Mytilus edulis: one gene and its partner. The protein of the gene in region 2 interacts with the protein of the main gene of each other region in a biochemical or structural test. Links are inferred from orthologs where the notes say so. Each region holds a gene or a part of one and is shown on either strand. Other genes may lie near its edges. The genes, in order: mitochondrial fission 1 protein-like and dynamin-1-like protein.

Evidence for each region.
Region 1: the proteins of dynamin-1-like protein (region 2) and mitochondrial fission 1 protein-like form a complex in vitro, tested with the Homo sapiens proteins (2 studies listed by BioGRID). The link is inferred for Mytilus edulis from reciprocal best matches to the Homo sapiens genes DNM1L and FIS1.

What each region holds. Positions count from the first base shown.
Region 1 is NC_092346.1:45,786,893-45,803,380, forward strand, and holds the start of mitochondrial fission 1 protein-like, read right to left. Parts: upstream 6,630-16,488; 5' UTR 6,557-6,629; coding exon 6,512-6,556; intron 1-6,511. Other genes in the region: SPRY domain-containing protein 7-like, read left to right, coding at 6,911-7,016, 7,881-7,997. UniProt on the Homo sapiens protein: Involved in the fragmentation of the mitochondrial network and its perinuclear clustering. Plays a minor role in the recruitment and association of the fission mediator dynamin-related protein 1 (DNM1L) to the mitochondrial surface and mitochondrial fission.
Region 2 is NC_092344.1:87,706,855-87,722,320, forward strand, and holds the start of dynamin-1-like protein, read right to left. Parts: upstream 5,806-15,466; 5' UTR 5,685-5,805; coding exon 5,583-5,684; intron 5,367-5,582; exon of another isoform or gene 5,318-5,366; coding exon of another isoform or gene 5,216-5,317; intron 1-5,215. Other genes in the region: CXXC-type zinc finger protein 1-like, read left to right, coding at 6,060-6,095. UniProt on the Homo sapiens protein: Functions in mitochondrial and peroxisomal division.

The DNA of each region.
Region 1 (16,488 bases), on a different chromosome or scaffold from region 2:
GAACTGATACTTTCTTAACAGATTTTTCCTGTACAGTTCAAGGTTTCATCTTTCAGATTATGTAATAAAAATCTACTGTTCGCGATAAAAATTTCACTGTTTGGGGGTGTTGAAATTAGTGGGGGTTATTAGAATAATGATACTTACATACTTAAAGAAGTGATTATTTGGAAGGAAATTGAGGTATGATACTTAAACAAGTGATTTTTATGTCCTTGTCCTAAATTCATTACAAGTTCATCACCTGACATGACCTGGTGTAGAATATTGCGTTGTGTATTTTATCGTAAGTTATCTAAGGCGTTAAAGATAGAACTACGTCTGCCATTATACGTTTCTATTCAATACAACATAAAGTATAACAATAACGCGACGTCACAAAGATAGCGGCCGTACCGCAAAAAGGTACGTTAATATTAGCGCAATTCTTAACATTCTGGGGCCGCAGAAAATGATATTTAACTTAAATTTGAAATACAATATGAAAAATTCGTAAATTGTGACATAAAATGAAATAAAATCATAGTTAAAGTCTCTCAATAGTTTTTTAACTGTTCACGTCTGAATAATTTAACACTTTCACAAGTCTATATAATAACCGTAGTTAATTGAACAGTCTATACATCCACTAATTTCTCCAGGGCAGAAAGTTCTCCAGGGCAGAAAAGTTCATTCACTGTCATCATGTGTACTGCGTATTTCCAACGGATAGAGCTTCACAATCGGACGGTTGGTAATTCCTGTGTCGGTCTTGATAACAGCTGATCGAATGAGTCCATCCTTTCCACGAACTAAATCTTGTACAACTGCTAATTTCCACATTATTCGATTTGTGTCATTGTGTACTTGTACAATGTCACCTATTTGTATTGTTTGTTCGTTTCTTCCAGATGTACGGTGGAATTCAGAGTGACGTCAGATATTCGTGTTTCCATCTTGAGCGAAAATGGTTGATTAGTTCATTATTTCTCTGTAGATTTTTATTCAGTTTCACGTGCAAGTCTTCTGAAGTAACACTGTCAATATTCTGTTCCGATTGGTTGTCAAGTCGACGACCATATAACAGGTGCGCTGGCGTCAGCGGTTCGGGATCTTTAATATCAGTAGAAATGTGATTTATAGGACGATTATTTAGAGTTCCCTCGATTTCGATTACAATTGTATTCAACATTTCCGTAGTGACACATGACTTTCCTAGTATTACTTTAATTGACTTTTTCGTGAGTCCAATTAGGCTTTCCCAAAAGCCTCCAAACCACAGTGCTCGGTTGGGTATAAATTTCCACTCAGTTCCTTGATCGGCAAGTTTTTCTTGTATTCGGTTGTCTTTGCTTGATCTTGTAATCTTTTCGGCGGCTGCCTTGAAGGTTGTTGCATTATCGGACAACATAATCCTTGGTGTAGATCTTCTAGCGACAAATCTTTTAAAAGCAAGCATGAAAGACTCCTCGGTTAAATCTGTGACTATCTCCAAGTGTATAGCTCGTGTAGCGGCGCAAGTGAATAAACAAATATATGTTTTGCTTAATTCGTTGTGTTTTCCTTTTGTATACAAAGCTCCTGTGAAATCAACGCCGGTTACTGAAAAAGGATAATCGTAGTTGACTCGATCTTTAGGAAGCGGTGGCGGATCGGGTGCGCTGTAAGGCATTCCTGATATTTTAATGCATTGAACGCATTTACGAATTTGTGATTTTACGCACTGTCTTATTCTCGGTATCCAATATTTCTGTTGAATATATGCGATTGTACTGTTAAGTCCGGCATGAAAAGTCTTTGTGTGTGCATCCATTACGATAAAGGACATAAGACTGTGGTGTGTTGGCAATAACAACGGATATTTAGTACTCTCCTTAACAGGTGCGTTTTGTATTCTCCCGGTACAACGTAGTAATCCGCTTTTGTCTGTATAAAGTTTAAGTTGTCGAACAAGTTGCACTTTTTTCTGTGAAGATGAATTCAAGCTTTCAATTTCATCCTTAAATGTTTGCTGTTGTGCTGTTACTATTAGAACTTCTAATGCTTTACATCGCTCCTCAACACTGATAAATCCGATTGTTCGTTCTCTTGAGTTCCGTAAATTCTGTATAAAGCGCAAGACGTATGCTGTTACTCTAATTGCTTTTTCTAAAGATCTGTATCGTTGTATATCTATACATGAAATTGTCTGTGTTGAAGCATTTGTACTTTCATCTTCTGTATTTTCATCACTAACAGTTACCATCGTGCTGCAATCTTCAATTTTCCTTGTCCATGTCGGCCAATTTTTACGATTTAAAATCCATTGTGGACCGTTCATCCATAAGCTGTTGTTATAAAGTTGTTAAGCGTAAATTCCGCGAGTTAAGTAATCAGCTGGATTGTCATCTGTTGGACAATAATTCCATTCAGCATTCTCTGTTAATTTTCGTATTTCTTTAAGTCGATTTTCTACGAACGGTTTTAATATTTTTGACGATTTAATCCAACTCAAAACAATCTGACTATCGCTCCACATATACACATGTTCTGTTGTTATGACTTTAAGAAGATGCGTTGCTAATCTGGCGCCGATAAGCGCGCCCATAAGTTCTAAACGTGGTAATGAAATCGGTTTAACGGGTACTACTCTGTTTTTAGCCATGACAAGGATCGATGAATTTGCTGTAACTAAGTAAGCACAAGCTCCGTATGCTAACTGACTGGCGTCTGTGAAAATATGTAGTGACGTTTTCTCGTTAAATACTCCTTCCGTTAACATTCGTGGAAATACTATTTTGGTAGCCTCCTTGATATCTAAAGCTATTACCTGCCATTTACTTCTCAGTTTGTCGGACAAACATTCATCCCAATCCAACTTTGCCTTCCATAATTAGTCTGCATAAACAGCTTAGCTTTCGCCGTAATTGGCGTGATTAATCCAAGGGGGTTGAAAATTCTAGACGATGTGCGCAAAACCTCACGTTTTGTTATCATTTTGTCCTTTTCCATAAATTCAATCTGTTGAAATTTCAAATCATCGGATTCCCTATCCCATCTCATGCCTAAAATTTTGACTATGTCGTCATTGTCGCCGATCTTGTCTAGTCCTGCGACGTTCTGTAATTCCGTACTATTAGAATTCCAAGACCGTAAGTTGAATCCTGCTTCTGACAATAATTTTCTTGACTCCGTGTAGAATTTCAAAAGTGATTGTTCATCTGTAAAACTGGTCAGAACGTTATCCACGTATAAGTTTCTCTGTAATTCAGTTGATGTAGTTGACGGATTGTCTCTAAAATGTTTCATTAGTGTGGCGCTTAACATGAATGGCGAACAGGTGGCGCCGAAAAGTACAACTTTAAACCGGTAAGTAATCAAACGGCTTTCTGTGTCCATGTGATTTTCTAACCAATAAAATCTTGTGACATCTCTGTCATCAACATCTAATTCAATATGCAAAAATGCTTTTTCAATATCTGCTGTAACTGCATATTTGTACATTCTAAAGCGTACTAATATCTCCGTCAAATCAGTCATAATTGGTGGATATGTTGCTAGGCAATCGTTAAGACAAGGGCTATTGTCGTTCGCTCTACAGCTACAGTTATATACTATGCGTATCGGGGTGGTGACTGAATCCTTTTTTACGGGATGATGCGGAATGTAATGAACCTTGTTTGTGCATGTAATTTCATCACATACCTTTTCAATGAATCCTCTTTGTTCTTGGTCTGTAATTATCTCACCATACTTTTGGAACATCTCCGGATCCTTCTTCAGTCGACGAATAACGCTTTCCGTTCTGCGTTTTGCGATGTCTTTATTTGTCGGTAGTTCTGGCGCATTCTCTCTCCATGGTAATTTCGCAATATACTTATCATTTTTCTTCGTAATAGAGGTTTGTAAGTAATTTTCAATTGATTCAGCTAGGTCTGGATCATTTTGTTCTTTAACGTCAATTCCCAACGATTCAAGCTTCCAAAATTGTTCAAGATCGCACTCTTCTTGTTTGTGACAAACTAGTATATTCATCATTGAGAAAGATGCATTGCTGGTTCGTGTAGGGACAGGACCGGAAAGTAAATATCCAATTTTCGAGCTAACTGCGGTTGGACCGTTTCTACGCACTATTTTGTCTTGAACTATGTCCCAGTAGAAATCACCTCCAATTAATAAGGATATTTCAAATTGCTCTCCATCCATGACTGGGTGTGCTAATTGTAGACCACGTAAATAAGAAAACTTCTGCGTTATTCCTATGTTGTGAGTTTGAAGTGGTGAAGCAATGGTTGGTACAATTAAAACTTTAATAGGGATTAATTCTCCTTCGGTAGAGTTAAGATTAATTGTTGTTTTGTCAAGATTTCTCACCTTTTTTGTAGTACTTCCAAATGTAGCTATACTTAATGTTTCAGAACCTTCTTTTTTAATGTCCAATTTAGCTGCTAGTTCTTCCGTTATAAATGAGCGCTGAGCTCCCTCGTCAAAGAGTATTCTATGTGTAAATACATCTATACAGTGTACATGTATTTTTGTGAACGACTGGACTGAATGCGGTTTTCAGTAAAACAGTGGACCTTTCTTCGCTAGCGGTATACAACATAGAAGTTTCTGTGTCTACTTTATTTTGCGATTGTTCAGTTTCAATATGATGTTTATTTCAGTACGAGTTCTGTTTACATAATGAAGAGTGATGCTTCCGGTGGCAACACTTACACATATTCTTGGATTTGCAATCGGCTATTTTATGCTTACCTAAACAATTAAAGCATAATCTCTTTCCTTTATAATGGCTACTCTTTTATCGTGATCTATGATATCTTTACATTCGTTAGGCCAGTGGTTTCCGTCACAATATGTGCATTGTTTCTTCCGATTCGAGTTGAATGATTTGTCTGTTGTGTTTATCGGACGGGTTTTATCTGTAGTTACTCGTTTAACGCCTGTTATGAAATTTGCGCTAGGAGTGGCGGTTGAATACGTCTGCGTATAATCTCCGTATCCGGACTCTTGAATAGAAATCTCTTTACCTATCGCGTTTCTAAGCGATTGAATATTCCAACTGTCGCTCCCGTTTTCTCGTGTTATATTTTTTCATACTTCATGCGGTATCTTCCCGAGAATTACTGGTATCAATAGCGATCCGTACATTTCCTGACATTGTCCAAGAGACTCTAGACCCTGTATGTAAGCTTCTGATTTGTCATGAAATGTTCTCAAACTTTCTAATGTATCATGTGGTGCGGGTATATCAAGTAGTGCTCTCATATATGCATTTATGATTTTATGTGGTTGCCCATAGCGGTTTCTCAATAATTCAATTGCTTTGTGGTAGTTTGGATTTGTCATGGTCAATCCTGAAATTACGTTTGCAGCTTCAAATTGAAGCAATGAGTTCAAGTACGAAAATTTCTGAATGTCAGTTAATGTGTGATTGTGATGAATCGTGGTCTCGTATGAATCCCAGAAATATTGCCATTGTAGAATGTCTCCATTAAAATTGGGAAGAGATAGCTTTGGTAGGCGATGGTTATTACTTGAGGTCGAACTTGACTGAGATAATGGCTGACTTGTGTGAGTGAAGGGGTTTGTGTACAGAACAAACTCTGGTGCGTTTGAATCTAGTATAGAAGATGTTGCGTTTGTTACGGGCTTTAAGAACTTCTTAAATTTTCGAATTTTACCCTCTAAATCTAAATAATACTCATCTGTTTCAAGAATTTCATTTGTAATATCTTCTGATTCGACTGCATTTAATATCTGTTCATCTATTGAGGCTTACGTCTTCTTTTTCTTCTCAATTGCTTCGAGCAATGTTGATACTTCCTCCGTGTCTATTTGTGAATCTCCGATGGCTTCCTCCAGTTTTTTGAAAACTTTTGTTACTGCTGCTTTGTTCCCCGCTCTCAAGGATTTTAATCGGCTGATGTCCATTCTCTCCGTTTGAAGTCACGGCACCAATGTAGAATATTGCGTTGTGTATTTTATCGTAAGTTATCTAAGGCGTTAAAGATAGAACTACGTCTGCCATTATACGTTTCTATTCAATACAACATAAAGTATAACAATAACGCGACGTCACAAAGATAGCTGCCGTACCGCAAAAAGGTACGTTAATATTAGCGCAATTCTTAACACCTGGTCATCCTAGACAACACAGATGTTGGTTCTGATAAGTTTAGAAACATAATTAGTCCCTGAATCATTAGTATTCTATATTTGAAGCTACAATAAGATTAAATCACTTCTTCTAGTGATTAATTTGTGCTACTTAAATAGGTGATTATTAAAGAGAGACAACTCTAACTTCCAACCTTTATGAACATAATGTTACTTGAATCAGTGATTCAGAAAATCACTCTTCTAAATCACTCATTAAGTAAGTCCCCTGACTGGTCACTGACCACTGTGTGTTTTTCTCTCTGGCTCCTTCTTTCTTTGACAACACTATAATTTAGGTTTTTTGTATGTTTATTTTCCCTTCATATATTCTATCCATATTGCATGATTTGGTCAAATGTATGAAGAGACACTAGACATTTATTCGTACCTTTAAGTCATTTTCGTCGCAAATTTCGTTCACAATCCGATCCATTTCTAGAAATCAATGTCAATTAAACGCTTTCCCACATTTCATATCAATAAGTTGTCCTAAAACATTAGCAAGATTGCGCTTACGTGGAAACATAAAATTAGACCACTTTCCGAGATGGAACGAATATAAAGCAGTCATGGAAAATACACATTTCATCCAAAATAATGTCTTTCTTAGAATAAGATAAGAACAAATGATGTTACCAAGTCTCTAAAATTGACATATAAGGCAACGATTTATGTTAAAGATTACAAATTTGTCTTTACAGTTTAAAAACATAACTTTACCTTCAGACTAGTTTCCGGATTTCCACATCAAAACAATATTTTGATTCAAAATTAGTAATATAGTAAAATGTCACTTACAAGATGTCTTTGCTGTTTAAGAATGCTAAATGGCAATTCAGGACATATACCCTTGAAGGAAATTCCAACAGTACAACTTGACACAAATCACATGGGTAAATCACTAAATTTTTTGAAAATAATTTAGTTTTTGTTTTGTTTGTATCACAGGAAATTCTATCAACAATGATAAGATATATAGTGCTCACTTCAGGCACTACTTCAGGGTTCTGATCCTAAACTTGCTTATTGTTTTGTCAGAATCATGTGTCTCACTTATCATGCCTATCATAATTTGCAATACTACTACTAGCACTTGTGATATATATTATTTTACATTTACGCCGAACATTGTTTCTGTTTCTGTCACACATTAGAAAAATGGGTGAATCCTGCAACAGACTTTGATCCTAATAAGAACCACCATATAGGTATCTTAAAGATCTTTTTGTAAATTAATTATATAAAAAAAATATAGAAATATATTAGTTTAACAAGCTATAAACAATCTTAAGGAAGGATACATTCATGTCAATTGTCACCTTAAAATTGTTTTATGTGTTTAAAGAAACTACCTATAAAAATTTGATTCAGAAAACGAAAGCTGTTTTTAAATTTATTATAATACAAAATTCAAAGTGGGTCTCATTGGGGTCTATTAGCGTGATGCGAAATTGCTGATTTTTTGTAAGCGTGACATGTGAAAGTCAAATTATTGTGGCGTGAAAACGGGAAATGAGGTCTTGCGGTACCCTGGAAATGATAAAAAAATGAGAATTGCTTACATATATAGTGTAAGCGGGATACGGGAATATGACAAAACAGTAAGCAGGATCCGTGATCAGAACCCCCCAATGAAACCCCTTCAAAGTTACATTAATACTTTTGATAATTTTCTGTTATTTTAGTAAATTTATGCTTAGTTGATAATTATTTTTTTATGCTTAAATGTAAAAATGTACATGTGTTTAACATTTCAGGTAATGATGTTGTGATTGTGAAAAGTGGTAAAAGAATATGTGGAACAGGTGCAGCATTGTCAAATGCTCCTATAGCACAAGATAAAGCTTACTTTGAAGTAAAGCTACAGAGTACAGGTAATTCATAGATTGATTTTGAAACCAAGTATTAATATAATTTTTTACATCCAGAAAACTATCCAGAATTTAACTTATTTTTAAAAAAGAACAAAGGAGTAGGGGCAATATAAGGCCTAGTTTTGGCCCAAGAAAATGAAATGTTTGATAACTATTTCAAATTGGCACATAATGTTTAAAAATGCTTAGGGTCAAGAAATATAAATGAAAAACATTAAGATTTGTATCTGATGACCTCACAATTAAGTCATAATATGAACTGTTTTTACAAAAACCATGAAAAATACAGAAATTATGCAGTTTTCTGACTTTATTTCTGTTGTGGAGACATCCTGCGCAGCCGAGAAACAACAAAATAATTTAACAAAAGCTTTATTATAACTATTGGCATTATCTCATCAAATATAAAGTTGTTTCTTGGGTGCGCACATACTTTTTCAGTCTAAAATATACTTAAAAATTTGATGAAAAAACAAGGAAAATCACGAAATTTAACAAAATATGCAAATTAGGTTATGATTTGTTGCCATGGTAACTTGTTGATGTCATTTTTTTTTGTGTTTTTGTTTGTACCTTATACCTTAGATAAATTTTCAGTAATTTAACAATATGTATGATTACTTTAAAATTTTCAGTAATTTTTGGGCCAAATAAGGGCCTTATTGCCCCTACTCTTTTTCAATGAAGACTATTAAAGTAATTGCTATATATTTGATTTCTTAATTAAGCCAAAAAATTGAGCCCAACTTTTTGATACATATTATTTCATGTAAGAAAAATAATTTGCATTTGAGTGGTCATTCTTAGGAGTATAAGTGATAAATATATCTTCTTGCTTACACAATGATAAGGCAACACTTTGATTTGTTATTATAACATTCTAACAAAGTGGTTCAGATCAGTAATTTACTGGTTATGTCCCTTTGATAACACTTCACTTTTGTAAGAACTTTTATACAGTTTTATTTTTTAAGAACCATGTGATGTTTTTTATAAGTGTTAATAATTAGTAATTTCAGTTGTTTTTATTCTGAAATGGTTTGATTTTTGGGGATATCTATTTATCTGTAAATGTTAGTGTTCATGGATTTCGTGAGTAGAAGGGAACCTTGAATTTAAATGTTCAACAAATTCCGTTTATTCTATAGTAGGAATGTCATTAATGTATACAGAAACTGACGAATTAACAAAACCAAATAACAAATAAAATGCAAGATTTTCTCAATCCAAGAAAATAAATCTGTCCACAGAACTCCATTTGAAGATAATATATATATCATTTGCATGTGTGAAAGAAATAAAATACAATATATATGTACCACTAAAAGTCTTGATGATTCAGTTAACACAGGTTTTTTAAAGGGCAACAAAAACAGGTAAAATGATATTGTTTCTAGTGTAACGGAGGGGGTCGGTGACGACACCTCCCGGGACGTGTAGTGGCCAGTACTTCGCCCCTATTCGACCATCGGGATACCTGATATCAGATTATGGCTGAACAACAAACAATTAATCAAATGAAAACTATATTTTATTCACAAATGTACAATAATTGCATGAATTTAAACAAAGTCGGATAAAACAGGAGTCAGAAAACTTTCTTAAATGAAGTTCAAAAATAAAGTAATTTCAAATGTAAAATGAAAACTAGAGTGTTCCCAGAGTTAGTCTTTTAAGTAAAATAAAGTAAAATTGCTTTGCGTTGTGTTTAAAAGTAGTAAAATTGCACCAAAAAGGGGTGACTAACTCTGGCGAACTGCACCGAAGTGGTGGCTAACTCTAGACTCGATTAGTACTAATATTAGTTCCGGCGAGTATTTGGAGGCCTGTGCAAGGCCGACTCCGACTGAATATCAAATGATATCCTAAACTTTTCATTAAACAGGCTAACTTTAACATAAAAGGTACTGAAGAAAAGTTAAATAAATGAATATTCTTAAAACATTATAAAAACATCAAAAGTTAAATACTAAAACAGTTAAATTAACATTCTTTACTTTTATCCTACTATATTTAAATCAAATTTAACTAAAAATAAACATTTAAATACTAAATAATTAATCTGTCCAAATTAAGGGGAATTAACCTAGGCATATCAAGGCACATCTATTACAATCCTCCCCCCTTAGGACAAATATTAAAGAAATTAATATTTGGGAAAAGATTTATTTAAAATAGATGTGTTCAAAATAATTAACAAAAATATAAATCAATGCACAAAAAATGTCAATAAATGTCACAAAAATGTCAAATAATCACACGGTCCAACCATAGGAAAAGTTCACACAGTATAAACATCCAGGAATAGTCGGTAAACACAAATTATAAAGTACGGTCCATAGAATATAAATGTAAACGGACACAGTTATACAGCATTCAATAAAACACAGTTCTAGATTCAAACGGAAACGGAATGGTAATACGGATAATCTGCATGGTCCAAGTTGTACCAGGTATAGTCCACCAATTGTTGTTCTCACGAAAACACTTTAAACGTGTGTTTTCGGGTTCTAAAAAGTCTATCGTTGTACCAGGTTTAGTCCACCATTGTAGATCTCACGGAATCACGTATAACATGTGATTCCGGGTTCAAGATGATCAAAGTTCAAACGTTGTACAAAGAGTAAGAAAGGTGCTCTTGATAACAAGAACTGCTTACTTTATCAGGTGGTTGTCTTCACACTTAAACTTTCTGCCACTCAATAGATTTCTGCCATGACTTATAAAAGTCACAAAAGGAAAACCATAACCAAACTAAACAAATTTAAAACAATAAAACTTGTTCAGAAAGGTTAAAAATCCAAAAAAATGAGCAAACTCATAAATAAACCTATTCAAACAAGAAACTTAGCTACAAACTAAACAAACCAACATCTAAAGAAAAACACAATCAAATCAAACAACGTTTTGAGGGTGTTTTGATGGCAAAACCGGCTCATTAACGTGACCAAGAAAAACAACAAATCCAATGAAAACTTTGAAACCATACCTACTAAACAATAATATAAAGTGACAAAATAAGTAAAATACTAAATATACAAATTAAAACTAAAAAAACATACTATATGAAAACTTTAACTGGCTTATCCTTCAAACAAGAAAACTCATCCGTGCTAGAAATCAAATAATCAGATAAACAGCTTTGCAAATCAAATGAAAATAAATTTTGAACTTTGTTGACAACTTTGCATGATTTTTTTACTTTCTTATGAACTGCAGTAGAAACTGGTTTTTCTGGTTCAACAACATGAACAGAATTGACACTTTTACAAACTTTATTGGGACAATTAGCTCTGATATGTCCAACTACCAAACAATTAAAACATTTTTTTACTTTAAACTTCTTATAAACCAGCTTTTTAAGAACTTTGACAATTTGATCAAAACCAGACTTCAAACAACTAAAATCACAGTTTTCTTCACTTTCCTTAATTTCACATTCAACAGGTTCAACTGTCAAATTAAAACATTCAAACTCTGTAGCCAAAAATATAGCATCATCAAAAGTTTCAGGATGCTTAAAATGGACAAACTTTGCCATTTCCTTCTCTAACTTTCCAATAAAAAGATCCATAAAATAAATTTGCATACTTTGAAAATTATCTGGATATGCACGATGACATAAAAGTTTGAATCTATGTCCAAAATCAAACACAGATTCATCTGGCAAAATTGTACAATTATTCAGTTGAAATTTATAAAAAGCTATCCTTTCCTTAGGATTAAAGCGTTGCAAAAGTAAACTTTTCAAAAAATCATAGCTTAGCAACTGAGTTGGAGTAAGAAGACGTAAAATAGTTCGTGCTTCTTCTCTTAAGTTTATTACTAACTGAAGAGCCATTTCAGATAAATTCCAGTTATTCCAAAGACAAACTGCTTCAAATTGAATAAAATAATCTTGTACATCGGCACTAACACCGTCAAAAGTACAAGGTTTCTGTTCAAACTTCATCATTTTGAAAATCAAAAATTGAACAAAATCAAAAATAAATGTAATAAAAATATTCAAACCAAAACTGAGGGATCAGGTATCCTGGTCACGGCACCATTTGTAACGGAGGGGGTCGGTGACGACACCTCCCGGGACGTGTAGTGGCCAGTACTTCGCCCCTATTCGACCATCGGAATACCTGATATCAGATTATGGCTGAACAACAAACAATTAATCAAATGAAAACTATATTTTATTCACAAATGTACAATAATTGCATGAATTTAAACAAAGTCGGATAAAACAGGAGTCAGAAAACTTTCTTAAATGAAGTTCAAAAATAAAGTAATTTCAAATGTAAAATGAAAACTAGAGTGTTCCCAGAGTTAGTCTTTTAAGTAAAATAAAGTAAAATTGCTTTGCGTTGTGTTTAAAAGTAGTAAAATTGCACCAAAAAGGGGTGACTAACTCTGGCGAACTGCACCGAAGTGGTGGCTAACTCTAGACTCGATTAGTACTAATATTAGTTCCGGCGAGTATTTGGAGGCCTGTGCAAGGCCGACTCCGACTGAATATCAAATGATATCCTAAACTTTTCATTAAACAGGCTAACTTTAACATAAAAGGTACTGAAGAAAAGTTAAATAAATGAATATTCTTAAAACATTATAAAAACATCAAAAGTTAAATACTAAAACAGTTAAATTAACATTCTTTACTTTTATCCTACTATATTTAAATCAAATTTAACTTAAAATAAACATTTAAATACTAAATAATTAATTTGTCCAAATTAAGGGGAATTAACCTAGGCATATCAAGGCACATCTATTACACTAGACTTAAAAAAATTTCCATAACAGAAAGTAATATTTTGAAAACAAAATTATTTTTCTCTGCAAAAGTAACATTCAGTAGTCATAATGGCAGCCATATTATTCATGTTAATTAATGTCGCCCATTATTGTGTGTAGAAGATAGCAATTATTGACTATCTAAGGTCCTACTCTCCAACTGTCAAAATCTTTGTTTGATAATTATATTATAATTTTACATATTGGTGACTTTCGACCCTTAACTGCTCTATGGTTGGGTTGTTGTCTCTTTGACACCTTCCCCATTTCCATTCTCAATTTTATTTACTGTTGTGTTTATTATTCCTTTCTTGAGTTATGAGTTTTCAACCTCCACAAAACAAGAAGACAAATGCCATCTTTTAAACATTTTGCAAATTGAGTTCGTGATTTATACTTGACTCAGTTTTTCACATAATGTCCACTGGCAATTTGTTCATGCATACTTAAGTGAGAATAAATTGAACAATAAAAGAAGTTTCCCCAGAGTGGGTTTATAGTCTGTACACTAAATCTGTTGGATGTACTTTAGTCAGAGAGAAACTGATTTCTTTTTTTGTTGTTATTGGCTTTGAACTAGCTTTCAGTTACTGTGAGAACTCTTTATAGATTGGTACTTTGCGTCTTTAAAGTTTTTGTTAGATTCTTTTTTGTCTTTCATATCAACAAGAAAGCCATTTCATACTGTTTTTACTAGTTTGATCTTATGTTGAGCTGGTTACACAACTGTCTCAGGATAGAGAAGAGTTTTTTAGCCCTCTTAAATGGACTGTTATCTGCTTTATGGTCAAGTTGCTATCTCTTTGATACATTTCCCATTTTTATTCTCAATTCTATTAATCACAGCACATTAAATTAAGTTGCTTATATCTGCACCATTTGGACTCAGGTGATAGTTGTCTCATCTGCAATTATACCACATCCCTGTATTTTTAAATAAATTTCACTTCTTTTTAGTTTGAACATGATATATAATACTTCCATGATACAAGGGATTTATAACTACGATGCAGTAAAATTATTGGTTTATACAGGTTACTGAAATAGATAGTTTAACATATGATCATCAGGCAAATTTGCATTCATATCACATTTATGTATTTTTGTATGAATTTAATTTCTTTTTACTTTGAAAAACACCAAACAAGCTTTGCAACTTTGGATTTGTAAAATAAATGCAGTAAAACAACTATAGTTTGAGAAATTAAAAAACAGATTGAACTAAAATGAAAAATCTTCAACTTATTTGAAACACATTTCACTTGATTACATCTTGTTAAATATACATGATATATATTGAAGTAAATAAATCTATCTAAACAAATCATTTTCTGAGATTTTATTGAACATGAACAACAAACAAAAATCATCAAAAAACACAATTTATAATACAAAACAACTTTTTTTTAATTTAAAACAAATCTTTTCCTCCAAGAGTCATCTCAGTTTTTTTCATTTATTGCACTTGATTAGACAAGAAGAATTCACAAGGAAAAGGAAAAACACAATCAATTCATTATGAGAAGCTTTCTGTGGATTCTTTGTTTGTCATGCTTATACATGTCCATTATGTGTGGATTGATTAAATTGTATTGGCATGTACCAGTATATTTGATTTTTTTAAAAGTCTGCATACAAGACTATAGATAATTTGTATTTCTGGCTCAAGCAGTCATTATATATATAAATATTTATCTAACCTCTTATAGACATGATTGTTTAATGGGCTACACATGGTGACTATGCATATTTGATATAGGGTTTCCTAAAAAATACATGGTTAGTTACCAAATAGTCTGTTTCCCGGCCGTTATTGAAATTCTTGTTAATATTTGTATATTCCGAAGGCATACTTGTTTTTTACAGAGGGGACCAAGCTAGTAACATATAGGGTGACCAACCATATAGGGTTAGTAAGGAGTTACTTCCCTTTAAAAAAAACCAAAAAAAACAAACTATAAAAACAACATGGTGTTGAGGAATAATCTGAAAGGATTCAACAGACAAAGAAATTAATGGTGAAAGGTTGAAATTAGGCCATAAAACAAAATTAAAGTTAACAAGTTGTTACTGTTGGCATTCCAGAGTTACTTCCCTTTCAAATCATAAAAAGAAATCTGAAAAGATTCAACAGACGAAGATTTTGATACTTGTAATGAACGATTGAGATAAATTCATAAAACAAATTTAAAGCTATAAAGTTGTTATTGTTGTCATTTATTTTCTGTATAGACAAAAGGAAGTAGGATTGTAATACAAAGTATCAATTGAAGACTTCATCACTTTGATAGGCCACTAGTCAAAATACCACATGTGAAGATGGTTCGTAAGATAAATTTGTTACGCAGTGTGCTAGTGACCTAATACGATATATATTGGGTCAGAAAATACCATATGGGGATTCCAGCTTTGTTCTCACTCAATATGGAATTTACTGACCCCACATATATCGTATTTATAGGTCCCTAACACACCATGTAAAAAATAATATAACTATAAAGAGAAAGGCTATTTCTCATTGTATTGATACATTGTATGCATTAAGAAATTATGGTTGCAAATTATTCTTAAATTAGAGAGTTTAGCAAGCAAAGTTTTATCACCAGTCTGTCATCTTTGCAACAGGCAATATATAATTGATTGTTTTGGTCAATGTGTAGACAGCGTGGGTTATTTATACCTTCTTCTAAACCAAACTCGGTAAGAAACTCTCCTTCCAATGAAATGACATGAATACTGTCATCATCAAATGACCAATTCAGCACCAGAATTAAACCATTTGAAGTTGTTTCAATGTGAGAAGGTGCAAAGAAAAAAGATTCCACTCCAAAATATACCCATTTAAACTGTCCCGTGCGATCAAGGGCAACAACCTTTCCTTCCTGACTCTCGATATCCCCACTTATTATGAGTATATCTCCATTGATATTTGTAGTAAGTTTCCATGGAATATCATCCTCATCATAATAAGGTTCTTCATCTATTTTAATTTCTCTTTTTACTCCTGGTTCTTTCAAAGTTACAATAACATTTCCTTGCAAATCTAAAATCAAGACACATAATACCAGTTTTTTGGGGCTTTCATATCCTATATCTGTGCTTTCATATTCGATGTCTGGGCTTTCATATCCTGAGTCTGGGCTTTCATATCCCACAAATATATTGTGGCTGGTAGCATGAATGCCTCTTAAATTAACTTGAGGCTCTATTGTGGTAATTTTTTCTATTTGTCCATTTGCCTTAACACACATAATGTCTGAGCGTTCTGCTGATGATGGAGATCTTTCAGAAATGGTAAACAAAATATCACCATTATCACATACAGTCATATCTTCAATAGGCAAATTTTCTAATATTTTCGTATCAATATGGACAACATCAGAATCTCTAAAGTTCATGTATCTTAATGTACAATCCTCTTTTATAATAATTGTTCCATCTGGTAGAGATTTCATAAGAGATGTATCATAAAGGTCAAGGTCATCATGGTCATAAGTCTGCAATATTTGTAAAGTTGGAATTTTGATTAAGGATCCAAACTTAATACTGCTCTGCGGCTCAAGTGGATATGTAAATGCTAATTTATTATCAGAAATTTCCTTTTCCTTCTTATTCAAAGGGCTCACATCAATCTTGTCAATAGTATTCAAAACAGATATTGCTAAGCGGGATTGAACAGCTTCACATATTTTTACCTTTCTTTGTT
Region 2 (15,466 bases):
ATATTGTATATAACAAAGATTTAAGTTGATTCTGGACAAAGAAAGATAACTCCAATTAAAAAAAAATCTTGCTATTGCACAATATTTTGCAATTAGATATTTCTTGCTTACTATTCTGGACAAAGAAAGATAACTCTAATTAAAAAAAAAATTGCTATTTCACAATATTGTGCAGTTAGATATTTCTTACCATTGCGCAATACTGTGCAATTGAAAAGACTTGCTATTGCACAATACTTAATATAATAATTTTAGATCATGATTTGGACCAACTTGAAAACTGGGCCCATAATAAAAAATCTAAGTACATTTTTTGATTCAGCATATCAAAGAACCCCAAGATTTCAATTTTTGTTAAAATCAGACTAAGTTTAATTTTGGACCCTTTGGACTTTAGTGTAGACCAATTTGAAAACAGGACCAAAAATGAAGAATCTACATACACAGTTAGATTTGGTATATCAAAGAACCCCATTTATTCAATTTTTGATGAAATCAAACAAAGTTTAATTTTGGACCCCGATTTGGACCAACTTGAAAACTGGGCCAATAATCAAGAATCTAAGTACATTTTTAGATTCAGCATATCAAAGAACCTAACTGATTCATTTTTTGTCAAAATCAAACTAAGTTTAATTTTGGACCCTTTGGACCTTAATGTAGACCAATTTGAAAACGGGACCAAAAGTTAAGAATCTACATACACAGTCATGACAGTTAGATTCGGCATATCAAAGAACCCCAATTATTCAATTTTGATGAAATCAAACAAAGTTTAATTTTGGACCCTTTGGGCCCCTTATTCTGTTGGGACAAAAACTCCCAAAATCAATACCAACCTTCCTTTTATGGTCATAAACCTTGTGTTTAAATTTCATTGATTTCTATTTACTTATACTAACGTTATGGTGCGAAAACCAAGAAAAATGCTTATTTGGGTCCCTTTTTGGCCCCTAATTCCTAAACTGTTGGGACCTAAACTCCCAAAATCAATACCAACCTTCCTTTTGTAGTCATTAACATTGTGTTTAAATTTCATTGATTTCTATTTACTTAAACTAAAGTTATTGTGCGAAAACCAAGAATAATGCTTATTTGGGCCCTTTTTTGGCCCCTAATTCCTAAACTGTTTCGAACCTCAACTCTAAAAATCAATCCCAACCGTTCTTTTGTGGTCATAAACCTTGTGTCAAAATTTCATAGATTTCTATTAACTTAAACTAAAGTTATAGTGCGAAAACCAAGAAAATGCTTATTTGGGCCCTTTTTGGCCCCTAATTCCTAAAATGTTGGGACCAAAACTCCCAAAATCAATACCAACCTTCCTTTTGTGGTCATAAACCTTGTGTTAAAATTTCATAGATTTCCATTCACTTTTACTAAAGTTAGAGTGCGAAAACTAAAAGTATTCGGACGACGACGACGACGCCAACGTGATAGCAATATACGACGAAAATTTTTTCAAATTTTGCGGTCGTATAAAAACATAAGTGTATAAAAAATTGGAATTTTTATGTAAGGAAAACGTTTTCTGAGTATAAAGCAGAACATTTGTGTATCATTACAGATTATGTTGATAGTACCTCAGTTGTCAATACTGTTATGTCTAAAATGTTTAGTAAATATGTCGAAAAGTGGCAAGGCAATTTACAATCAGAGAAAGCTTTATTTGGTAAAGGTGGTAACAAACTTCGTACATATAACAGGGATCTCCATGGCCTGTTTAACGATGGCGCCCCGCCATCATTCAAATGTCTTGCACCATCGTCAAATGACTTGAGCCATCGTTAAATTGTCTTGCGCCATCGTTAAATTGTCTTCCGCCATCGTTCTAAACTTCATCGTTTTTTGTAGCCCGACGCCATTTTTTGTTATCAATTATAATCAAATGCATGTAATTGCATAACCCTTAGGCTTTTTATGTTATAATCCAATACAGTTCTAACGCCTGAGGGATATCCGGATTAAGATCGCTAATCACTTGTACATGAGCTTGTATACAGGTAGATCAACAAACCAGACAGAATACTATCTGAGGATAGACGATCCATTTGTCGAATTATTTGTCCAATTAATCAACTAAGTTTCAGCAAATGATTATGATAATTTAGATTAAATAAATAAATTAATAATCCAGTTACAAAGAGAACAGTTTAACAAGTCAAACACGTGCTTTATTTTGACTTACGCAATCAGCATCTCCCTTTTCTTAAGAAGTACAAAATATTTAGAATTACTTTAAAAGTTTAAAAGTAAAAACTTAAATATTTCCTGTAAAGAAATATCGTATCGTAATTCTGAATTCATTTCGTATATTACAATCAAATTGATACATCTGCGTTTCCGGTTTCTATTCAGACTCGAAAGATGCATGTTGCACAGCATAAATTTGCCAGATAAAGTCATTAAAAACCTTTTCATTTGTCAACGTTTGCTTTACAAATCTCTTTAACCTTTTACATAACCCGTACGAATCGTTTTGTTGTTGCTGCAAATCAGCCATACCGGTAATGGGTTCTTAATTTGACAGTGTAAATGAAAAATAAGCTCCACATCATATGATTTTTAACCCCCATAACAATTACCAAAAATACAAGAAATCTACATGGGGACTTTCATGACAGCTTTTGGTCATTCTCAACTAAGGGGGGACCAAGAAGACTTGGCATTTGAATGGTTAAAAACGGCAATAAATGAAAATATTGATACTTCTAATTCTATAATGAAAATTCAAATAAATATAATTTAAATAAGCAATGAATTAGCATGTTCACCATTCCTTGTATGGAGGGATAAAATACTTCCGATCGCGCTACACTGTACAGCGTAGACACGGTTTGTAATGGTGAAAGTTCCTCCAGCGTTCAATTTTCATCCATGGAGATCCCTGATATTTCAAAAAAAAATTAAATATTTCTAATTTTATCTACATGTATGAAAAACGATTCAAATTTAATTATGAAAATACAAATGTTCTTGAATAAAACTTAAATTTGAAGGAGTGAAAAAGAAATAGCTATTTAAAACTGCCCTGTATATTTTCAGGTCCGTCCTGGTCTTTAGTGTTACCATTATCAGTTTTCGAGTTAACAGTAGTTTTAAAAGCTTCTAAATACACACAGAGGTGCATAGGGTTGTTTTTTAAAAGTAAATATGGGTAAAATATCATTCCACAACATGAATATTGCACTGAAACGTTTTATTTGAGTATATTGGGGTATATTGGGGTAAAAAGTCATTTTGTGATCGTAAGCGGCTGACAAGAACGGAACAAGTTTCAATGCAAAAAGTGATTTAAAATTAATTATATTCATAAATTAAAGTATTATTGGTGTTAAAATAACATGAAAATGCATAAAATAATGTTATTATTCAATACTGTTATGTTAAAACTGTTTTTGAGGTATATTGGGGTATATTGGGGTATGTTGGGGTGAAAAGTCGCACCCCAATTGGTGCCAATAGGAATACTATAGTCGATGAAGATACGTTTTCCAATGTAGCTGTCAAGAGCAGAGTTAAAACGCCTCTTTAATGGTTAACACAGGTATAGCAGTGTTTTCCTTTTTTCACTAAGGTAAGGTGGGTGTTTTAAAAAATAACTTGCAACCGAGTGTTTTTTTTAAATGTCCAACCTTTTTTTTATTTACTGTGGGTGCACGTGGGGGTCACAAAAATAGAGTAGTATAATATTCACATTTAATGGAGTTAAACAAACATAAATAGAAGTACTAGTCATATTAATTGTCAAATATTCTTTGATTTATTTTTTTTTCAAAAATTTATCTCTTATATCTCTACTTTCATTTACAATTTTATGCATCAATATGGATTGAAGGCCTTTCAATCCAGGTTTCTGTCCTGTTTCTTGCTTTTGTGCCGTATTTTTGGCACACAGAACAGTAGTATCCTTCCTCTGTGACTATAAGTCATTTGAAGTCTTGCTCATATTTGTCTTCACTTGCGTGTCTTTTCCGTTATTTGGTTGATTTTTGTTCAATTTCAAACAACTCCAACATTACTATCAATTTTATTTAACTTATTTAGTCTAGTATTTTCTTTATCATCATCGTCATCTGCCTTTCTTTTTCCCCGATTGATAAATGAAAACATTGAAATTTGACGTTTGGACGCCATCTTTGTCAATAAAAACAAGGCAGGATTAGTATTCAAATTTTAACGGTACGGAACCGAAAAATACCCGGATTTTGAAAAAAAAAGCCGACCACCTCCTAAAATCGAAAGGTGGTCGGCTTTCAAAAGGTCGGCTTAAATGCCGAATGGAAAACACTGTATAGCATTATGGCAATATAAAAACAATCCTTAATGTATAAGTTTAAATGTACTGTTAACTATCATTGTCATAGAAATTACATCAGATAAATAAAAAAACACTTTTTTAAGATTTTTAAGGGCATGCACGGTGAATCCGGGTCCGTCCGCCCTGATTCTGGTTCGCCCTAATACCTGTTTGCCCTGAGTCCGTTCGCCCTGATTTTATTTTTAAGTATAGTGTTGCGTTGTGTGTATATAATTGAATGTGTTGAAGTCGGTCTACAATTTCGCCGAATATTTACGATGTATCATGTTGAATTGTCTAAAGCTAGCTGCTTTACATGCTGTAAGGTTATAAGTTTCAGTACATTTTTGGACTCTAAGTTTTTGAGGACTAAGTTTGTATTTGTATGTAATTACGTTACTAGGAAATATAAGTTTCTGTAAATTGTGTATTTTTAAATGTGTGAAACAACTGAAGACTAAGTTGTTGTCTTGCTTCTACGAGGATAAGTTTCTGACTTATACCTGACATAAAACAACTAAAGACTAACATGACTAAGTTATTTATATATTAAACTTTATTGATACATATCAAAAGTTTCAAATGACACCTACTCAGCAATCAAAATTCAATCAACAGTAATATTAAAAGTAATTATAAAATAAAGTGTAACAATGCAGCCAAGACTTTTATTTAATTAATATAAATTTGGCAAATATTCTGTATTTAACTTTTAATAGATATACATAAATTTAAATAAATTTTAATATATATATATATATTTCGTTCATTGATGTAACATATACATATCATAAATGAATATAGGGCGAACGAACCCAGGGCGAACGGACTATCAGGGCGAACAAACTCAGTGCGAACGAACCTAGGGCGAACATGTAATCAGGGCGAACGATCCCGATACCATGCACGGTCCACCTGATTGCCTATCACAACAATTTGTGGAAGCTGAATTGTCTCTGAACCAACAGTGTTAAAAACATCTTGCAGTTTGTTGATAACAGGGATCAGCCCTTCCATTGCTGAAAGGTTTATTTTCTATTTGATGTTTACATAGAAATTACATCAGAGATAAATACAAATTATTTTTAAGGACATGCACCTGATTGCCTATCACAGCAATTTGTGGAAGCTGAATTGTCTCTGAACCAACAGTGTTAAAAACATCTTGCAGTTTGTTGATAACAGGGATCAGCCCTTCCATCGCTGAAAGGTTTACTTTCTATTTGATGTTTACATAGAAATTACATCAGAGATAAATACAAATTATTTTAAGGACATGCACCTGATTGCCTATCACAACAATTTGTGGAAGCTGAATTGTCTCTGAACCAACAGTGTTAAAAACATCTTGCAGTTTGTTGATAACAGGGATCAGCCCTTCCATCGCTGAAAGGTTTACTTTCTATTTGAATGTCAATCAGCAGTCAGGGACATTTGACTTGTTTCGCTTTGGGCATAAACTCCAAAATTATCTCCGGCACTTTTTCACTTCCGGGTTATAAGGTGAATAAAAGAATGATTTAAATTACCCCGAAACATTTTATATACACATTCAGTGACATTAGATTATTAACATTTATTACTAATGAAAATTTCTAATTTCAACAATATTTATATTCTGACTGTTTTATATATCTTTCACCGAAAAGATTCTGATTTTTTATTTTAATCTAAAATCTTTCTCAAGACAGCAAAAGGGATGACGTATTACACATTGACAGATTTGGCTTACTAATTTTTGTTGTAGTATATTCTCATTATGTCAGAATCTGAAGGCAGTGCTAGTGGAATGTCTGTAAGTTTTATAATATGAGACAGGTGTAACTTTTAAAATAGTACAAAGTCCGTATCAGTAGTTTTTTTTACATGAATTTACAAGTTTTATATGATCTTTAGAAAAAAACTATCAGGTTTTTTAAAACTGCAAGTAAACCTATAGCTATAAATTATAGCTTGATATGGCTGTGATACTGACTAGTTAATTCGTCTATCCTTCAAATCCGACTACTTAACATTGAGAATGATATGGATTTTCATAATTTCTTGATATAACCCTACAAGCTCAATTATGTTTTGAGTGATTATCTCCCCTTTGCATTTTTAAAATTATTTTTTTATGAGGGGAAAAGGAGGAGGGGGGCATGATCTTTTTTGGGACGTCATGATGGGGTGTTTTTATGCTAGGGATTTTCGGATTGACCGTTATCGGGATCCAGGATTTGTTTTTGAGAATTTCGTAATGTCAAGATTTTTTTTCTTCTGCAGGATTTCATGTTTTTAAGCCTGGGATTTTGGGATTAGGGCCCTCCAAACCTCCCTCTTTTATGGGTTTTCATGCTTTTAAGGCGTTACCATTTCCAATAAAAACATGCATTTTACACATTCATATGAGGTTGCAAAAAATTATCTAGCCATACATTTTTATGTTATTATTAATAAGAAGTTCAGTCTAAATCTTTGCAGACAAAATTAGGAGGCACTGTTTCAACCATTCAATTAAGAAGGTAATGATGTGAACAACAGGATTTTTAAACCTCTTATTTCTAAACTCTATGTGCATCTTTACCAATGTCCAAAAACACAAAAAACAAAATGGTAAAATTTGTCATTTAAAGGGAAACTTCGCAAAAAAATCAAAAATTGATATTATGTCCATTCTATATATAGAAATGCTCAAATTTATAGATATTAAAGTTTTATTCCGCTAGATAAGAGATCACCATCGATTTTAAATTTAGAGTATCAACTCTCTGCGTTCCGCCATTTTGTCGTCTTCCCCGATTAAAAATCACGATATGTCTATAAACCACAAAGGACCAAAACTACACTAACCGATGTAGTCGTAATTGCGTGTCGATATCTTGTCAATCGTACGGTTGTTTTATCTGACAAACTAACTTGATACAGAAAATGTTCTTATTTTTTTTTAAATAACCATAGTCTGTTATTTTTAAACTGTTAATATTGGAATTAGTTAAAAAGTCAAAGTTTAAATCATAAATAAGTTTTCCGTGAAAACTGTTTTCGTAAATCTTATTCGTTTATAATTCTTTAAAGTAATAAATTTTATTCAAATAAATTCGGATATTCCCTCATCTGATCACCAGCATGACTAAAGGTATTACTCCCAAAGGTATTGTGAGGGGTGTGAGGTGACACGTCCAGGTATTCAAACGATTTCCTGTCGGGCTTGCAAGTTCATGCATCGTTTCACTTCTGTAGGTATTGATCAGTGTACACGGCCGATAACTTATAACTCTCCATTTTGAACTATCAGGTGTATAATATACATCTCTGTCTTGCGTGTCCGAAAGTGATATAATATACTATAGCCATTACTAAACTCATACGCTTGTTTATAAATAACATTACTGGTGTAAAGAATATTATTTATAAAAATACAAATAATACCAAAAAAAAAAGATTTGATAAAATAAAAATCTATTTACATTTTTTTTCCAAGGTTTAATTTGGGAAAATGTAATATATACTCGTTGTCAATAGTAAAGGACAGATTGGAACATACCAGAAATATTGATTTAATAAAAATGTACGCACTTGTCGACGATTCATTTCTACGCCTGGATAGAAAGTTACGGAGCTATATCGCAATTTAAAATTATTACATGTATACATTGAACATAAGAAAGAAACATACATTTTGTGTAAATTGGGGTAACAGTTTTGTAAATAGACTATTCCACGTATGCCAACAGTATGTAATCATCGAATTCGATAGACCATTGTATACCAAAAGAAGAAGAAGAAGAAGAAGAGGACCAATTTGATTTAAATACAGGTCGATATAATAACTTGCTTCGGTTCATCGAAGTTATGAACATAGTAAAATCACAAATTTATATATCAATTAGATCGTTCTCCAATGAAAGGAAGAAATTCGACATCATCACAATTGTTCCGACATTCATGTAAAACATATGCAACTGGACGTACACTAATAAACCCCAAGGGATGTGAGTATTTTCTAGGAAAACTTTTGAGTATTAAAGTTTCAAATTGATTTCGGGATTTATTTTCTTTCTTCAAATTCAATGACATCAATTTAAAGAATAAACTGCTTGTCCGCTTTAGGGGTATTCTTGCCAGTTGAACAGACTTATAATTACATTCAAAAATAGGGAACTTAAGATGACATTAAATTCGTTGTCTTTTTTTTTAAACATTGTTGGTCAAATAGCTAAAGTATTATTCGTTGTGAGAAGAAGACTATTTTAATAAGGACGCTCCCGATTATGAATAAATTTGGTTGACGTTTTTCACACTTGAAAAGAATTTCTATTCGTAATTTGTCGATTCCATTCCAAGAGGAAACTTAAATTTCCTGTCAATTTTTTAAAACATCTTTTTTTTTCAAATAGCTGAAGTATTCATGCATGGGTTGTGAGATTTAAAATATTTTGATGAGAATATTAATTCCTAAATAGGTAAATAAAGATCGCTTTGGATGGACTAAATCATATAATTGCAATCTGTTTGAAATATTAAAGGTTGGCGATTTTAATTTTAAAAAGTACAATTTTTAGTTCATACACTCGTGTTTAGAAGGCTATTTTTATTTATAATTTTATTCAATTAAAATAATTCAGTATTTTATCGTTACAAAACTAATCAGAAGTCATAATTCATTTAAAAGTGAGCTTATGCAAAATATATATATAAAAATATACAACAGCTATCCAGTTATTGTGCGACCTTATTTCTCCCGTAAATTCATTTTAATTCTTTTTCTTACATTTCTGTGTCTATAACTATAACTGACTCCCGTATATCATTCATACGAAATGTTGTTCACACCTGAAATGCTGAACCGTGACGCCTAGGTGTCACTGAATGAAGATCAAAAGATTAGAATTACATAATGCTAATCTTTTAATTACCTTGAGTTTAACTACGCATTCAACATTCACTAAGTGTAACAAATTAATACACATTTAATTTCCACAGTACAAGCAAGTGAAAATGTTTTCTGGAATGAAGCAAAAAGTTCAGAATACAAACATGTATTTTTTAATACACTATCGATCGTGTCAGTTTTATATGTTTGTTTAAAGTATTTGAAGAAAAAAAATCATAAAAATGTTCTATTGTATTATTTACTTTAATTACTAGAATTCGTATAAAAAATCCAAACATGAATCCTACAATCTAATTTAAAAAGTTGCATGGCTGTCACTTACTTTTCGTTGGTTAATAGCTACACCAAAAGTCGTCGATGCGCTTTAAATAGCGTTATTAGATGGTTAACGAACAAGACTTAAATGAGATTAATTTCACTCCCGGCATGCTCAAAGACTTAAACTACGTCACATAAGTCAGGAAGTTTGATAAAATAAAATTATTAATTCCAAATTTTCTCCCTTATTACTTTTCATATCGAAATAAAACTTGGGGAATATGTTTTTTATGGTATTATGAACATAATAAGATGAAAAGTGAAAAATCGCGAATTATCCCTTTAAGAGCAATATATTTTTAAATAGCTATGCCTGGGAACGCAGTAAGTGTCCTTTTGAATTTCTTTGTCCATGAATATAGTCCATTAGTCTGTACTGTGGCCGACAGTGAATTATAGTTGCAATTTTTTCATACCCTTTAAAAAAATTTTTTTTAATGTTTTAGGCCTCAAATAGCAAGAAGGATGAAATTCCATTGCAAAAAATTGTGGGTCATGAATTTTAAAATAAAGTATTGATTTGAAAAAGGTTAAAAATTAATATGTCTGAAGCTGTCAAAAGAATTCAAGACCCCCTTAATTAAAATTGTCTATATTTGAGTTAGAGCAGATGAAGTTTTCAATAATTTTGATACAATTTGTAGTACATCACACACTGTAAAAATATTATTGAGAAAGCGCAGGTGGGATTAAAAAAAAATCATTTATTGTCTTAAAGAAATGCACTTCAAAATTAAAAACCAATTGTTCAGAGAACAATTGAAGGTCTTTCCACCAATAAGGATCTATTTTGATATGAAAATATTAAAATTCAGTTGAAAATGTCAGTTCCTATGGCTTAATGATGTATAAATATGAATTTTGAGCAAAGGTCAAAATCTAGAACGTCAAATTTACTGATGACCTTGACCTATATTTCAAGGTCATAAACCAGGGACCCCAAATAAAAAGACCCTAGGTCTGTAATATGTATAGTTAATGAGTTATATCACTTTACGTTTAATTCTTAATATAGGAGGGGCAAAAACTCCCATTTTATGTCTACACACCCTTTTAACAAAAATATATAAGTTACGATATGTCGCAACTAACAATTTAGTAAAAATAATTTGTCGGTATCTTATAAGGTTAATGAAAATTAGTGAAAATAGGCCAAAATCAAAATTTAGAATATGACCTTGACCTTTGACCTTTACCTAATTTTCATTTTTTTGGACCAATGATCTCAAAACAAAAGACCCTAGGTCTCTATCACTTATGGTTTTCCAGTTTAAAATACATTTCAAAATTTCAAATACAAAATGGGAACTAACTCTCATATGGAGTCTCTATACGGCTTCGGTCAAAATAAAACAGAACATCCTGAGGATGTAACGAGCAATTTGGCAAAATAAATTTGTCGTAATCTTTTATGGTTGCGAAGGAGTAGTGGCCACAAGAAAAACAGTGTTTGGGGAGATAACTCTTACAACGTAAAGTATTTGGTTACGCAGTGGTTAGTTTTAAAAGTGCATACGCTTTACGATATCATATTCCAAATATCTAAGCGACATCTTTTGAAACATCAATACTACGCAAGAAAAGAATTAGGCGGAAGAATAAAAAAAAAAATAATAATAATAATCAGAAGAAATCCAATAGGTCTTTCCACGGAAAGGTGGAAAGACCTAATAACTGTGTTTTCAGGCTTAGTAGATAAGGACTCAATTGAAGGTTTTGGTTATTAAACTTTTATGTAGATCTTAGCTTGCCAATTAATTTTACTATATGTAAAGTTTCTATCTATCTCTTATAAATTATAAAAATGGGTAAAAATCTTAATTCAAGAGCAATTAATCATGTTAACTCCAATAAGGAGTTATAAAATCATTGTTTGTAAATCTTGTCTGGCAGATCACATTTGCTATTTCATGTGTCTTATCTAGATCTATTACAGTTATCAAGATAAAAGGTAAAATCACAAAGTTGAAAAAAGAAATCTCATTCAAGTGCAATGACTCTTAAAATGTGTCAATTCAAAATTTAGCCAAGCTGAATTATTTGTAAATGTACAAAATGTAGTCTTGCTGATCAATCTTGCTTTAGAAAGTTTGTGATACAGTAACATGTATAGATTTTAAATTTTAAGCAAAATCTTTTAACAAATGTCATTAAAGAGTCAACTGACAAAAATGACTGATGATATCAACCATACTGACTTATTTGTGGATATTATAGAAACATTATTGTCTTGCTTATCCTTTTTACTGTTTAAGTTTCCCTCTAGCTAGAATGATTATCAAGATGATATGCAATCATGAATGGGCCAGGTGAGCTCTGTCGATGTAAAAATGAATTGTCCTATAAGTTCATTATAAAAATTGAAATATTGTTGTTCCTGTAAAGTTTAAAATAGCTTTGCATTCCAAGTATTAATACAGAAACAGAAAATGTCAAAGGGAGATAATTCTTATATATTTAATACGATCTTATAATAATGTTTTAAAATGACAGTGCTTCGTAAGCCTATAAGGCTGGCTGAAAATAACAATGTTCATATCATATGTATTATATAATGGCAATTCAGGTTGCACTTTAATAAATTATTTATTCATATATATAGCCCAATCTTGTGAATTGTCAGTCAGAGACATCATCATTGATCATAGAAAACAGTATTTTTTTTTGAAATAATCAATATTTGATTTTAGTTTTCTCAGTTTATGTTTTAATTTTTTTCCCTCAATAAGCCAATTAATGAATTGTTTTAAGATGTGGACTGACAATTCAGCTCTTATTTTCCATGTGCATAGCTATTTACAGGTAAATAATGGACAAAGTCTCTAAATAATAAAACACTTGAGATATTAAATTTCAGACACATTATCAAGTTCAATTAATTGCATCATTTTTGGAAGTACATTATTTAATACAAGATCTATCAAATACATGTTGTAAACTGATTCCCAGTGTTCTAGTCAAACTACTTCCAATCAACCAATCCAATGCTCTATCTAGGATTTAAGGGATTTTACAGCATTAAGATGAAGGGAAGGTTAGCATGAGTTCCTGTCTATTCAAATAAAACCTCTCATCAAAGCTATAGATTAGTTCTATAATCAGAAAAAAACTATTAAGTTGGACATTTTTCTTTTGGTTATAAAAGGAGACTTGTAAAAATATTACTTACTAATTCTTTTTGTCAAGATATTGCCTTCATTTCTTATCAGATCTTCTTCAGATTTGTATGAAGAATTACACTTATTAAATCTTGGATGTACAAAATGATCAGAAAAATCTTAAATGAGGGTCCATATGTTTTGGGTGGTGGACTTTGTAAACTATATATTGCTGGTATGATGCCTTCTCTTTATATAGATGATTTTAAAATTTGTTAAAAGGTATCCACTCATACAAGATTAAAGAGTTTGTTAATCAGGAAAGTCTGAAATACAATGTAGAGACTCATTTTAGGGGAAGGGGACTAATGGTTTGTCACTATGTAAGCTAGCCTAGAACACTGACCCTACCAGACATCTATATAAAAGAGAACTGATTCATAGTAGAAATACTATCCAACCTCTTTTTTTTTTTAAACTTTAATCATGTTGAATAAATGTGAAGTAATTGGCATTTATCATTATAAACATTCTGTTGTTAACTAACCATGTTATCTTAGCCATGTATGCATTCTAAGGTTCACTGAAAGTGGGGTCAGATTGAGCCTGCTCTACAGCTGAATAAAAAACAACCTTTAAAATCTTAAACATACATCAAGTTTTATGTGAAAGAAATATAATATCAAACAGGTTGATGTACTATTATTTTATAAAAGTACAAATGTGGAAATTGAAAACTATAAAACTTGAAAATTTAAACTGATGTGAAGTTCTTATAAAAGTTTTCTGGTACTGAATAATAAATTCATGTGGCCTAATTGAAAGGAATGTATCTGTATCAAAGAAATTAAAACTAGTGTTTGGTATGGACATACTAAATATTAAAGGTAAGAATGTTTGTGGTCTACCAAACATGTGCTCCAGTTAAGAAACATGTCAACCGAATGACACCTATTTGTCATTTTATTTCAGAATAGCAGGTGTAACAATAATTTATCTTATCAGTACATGTATTTTATGTATCAACTTTATGTAATGAAATAGTTCTTTGTGTCTTAAAAAAAAATAGGCGACAATTTTATTTTTATAGATATGTGTATTGTGCAGTTAGGAATACTATTGTAATGCTTCTTTCAATCAAAATTCAAGTATTTTTATAGCTCAACATAAAACAGAATAGAAAACAAAAGATTATTAAATATAAGTGGTTAAATATCTTTTCAAATTTTAATTGATGATCATAATTTTTTTTACCATTTGAAAAGATAAATCATTCATTTTAATTTTCTAATGTAAAAAAAAGAGACCAATAATTTGCAGCCATTTGCAATCAAAGATTAATTTAGACCAGCTTCATATGAATAAAACATATCAAACCAATGGGACTGATAAATATACAATCAAGGAAACTGGAAAGGCATATTTTAAAAAACCAGTCTCAACAATATGAACCGCCATTAAAGCTGGGAGTATTTCAGATGTTCTGTGAGAGTAAGGCCGTGTTCACACCAAACGCCATGTACATAAATGTACAGTAAACATGTTTACAATTAGTTTAATGTAATGTACACTGGTTTCACATTATATAATATTTGTTCACATCTATACACCTTGTTTAATCACCTGAACATAAGATTTGTTCACACTTGTTAACTATATATCATTTAAATGTTCATTACGTAGAACTGAATGCAAATTTTTCGAACAACTTTTGTAGCAGTTAGGGAATGACCGTTTGACTTAAAAAAAGGCAAGGGGAATGGATTTTTTCTTGAAAAATATTCTGACCCCCAATTTGATAAAAAGATTATTCTGCTCATACAGATGGAAAAAAAATATTCTAAATCCAGAGTTTCCGCATTCATTATAGTGTTAAATATTGAAAAAAAAATATTTGATTGCTAGCATCGAAAAAAAAAATGAAAAAAAACGTTCGCGCGAAAAAAAAATCTGACTCAGAAAAAAAAATATACCCCCCTTATTTTAACTTAAGTGGTTTCTCCTTTATGAAAGCAATTTTGATTATTTGCAGTAGTTTAAAGATACTAAAGATGTCTTGATTACGCATTAGAAAACAGAAAACGTAGGCTGAAGCAGCATGCTTACAGACGAAGAAAAAGTATTGAGATGTTAAAGATCACTACATTTCTATTTTTTCTGGGTTTTTTTTATTATTATTTTAGTGGATCAGAGATACTAGACAAACAATACAATTTACCTCACACTTTTTTGATAATGCATTGAAGAGTGAATTGTTGTTTGAGTAAAGACCAGTGGCAAATATTTCCGTGTACGATTAGTCGATTCGGAAAGACCTTTTCAAATGAATTATGTAATTAATAGATCAAGTTTACACAAATATTTCTGTAAAGAACTTTATTGATAATTGTTATAAATATCAATTTTATTCAAAAATTGTTTCTTTCTTAAATATACATGGTAAAATTAATGTTCTAAATGTCTAGCTTTGTGAACACTTAACCTACACAAGGCCTACATTGACTATCGACTGCATGTAGACAAAACACGATTTACACTACATGTAAACATTGAGTTTTATCAATGAGAATGTAATTGTGTTTAGTTTACTGTGTGAGTTACACTTACACAACACCGAGTTTAGATCAATGTGAACACGGCCTAAGATGTTGAATCAAATTTGGTCAAAATTAAAAAAAGTTAAAAAATCTGCATAGTAAGAATTATATAGAGATAAGCTAGGTAGATAAGTTCTTAATGGTATATGTTTATTATTGTTTTATCAACAGTTTTGATAGGAGAGTGGATAACTAAAGTCAGGTTAGTTCTGGTTTCCTTTTCTACCTAATCAACATTTCTTTCCTTCACTTAATCATTGGGCACAATATTACCAGT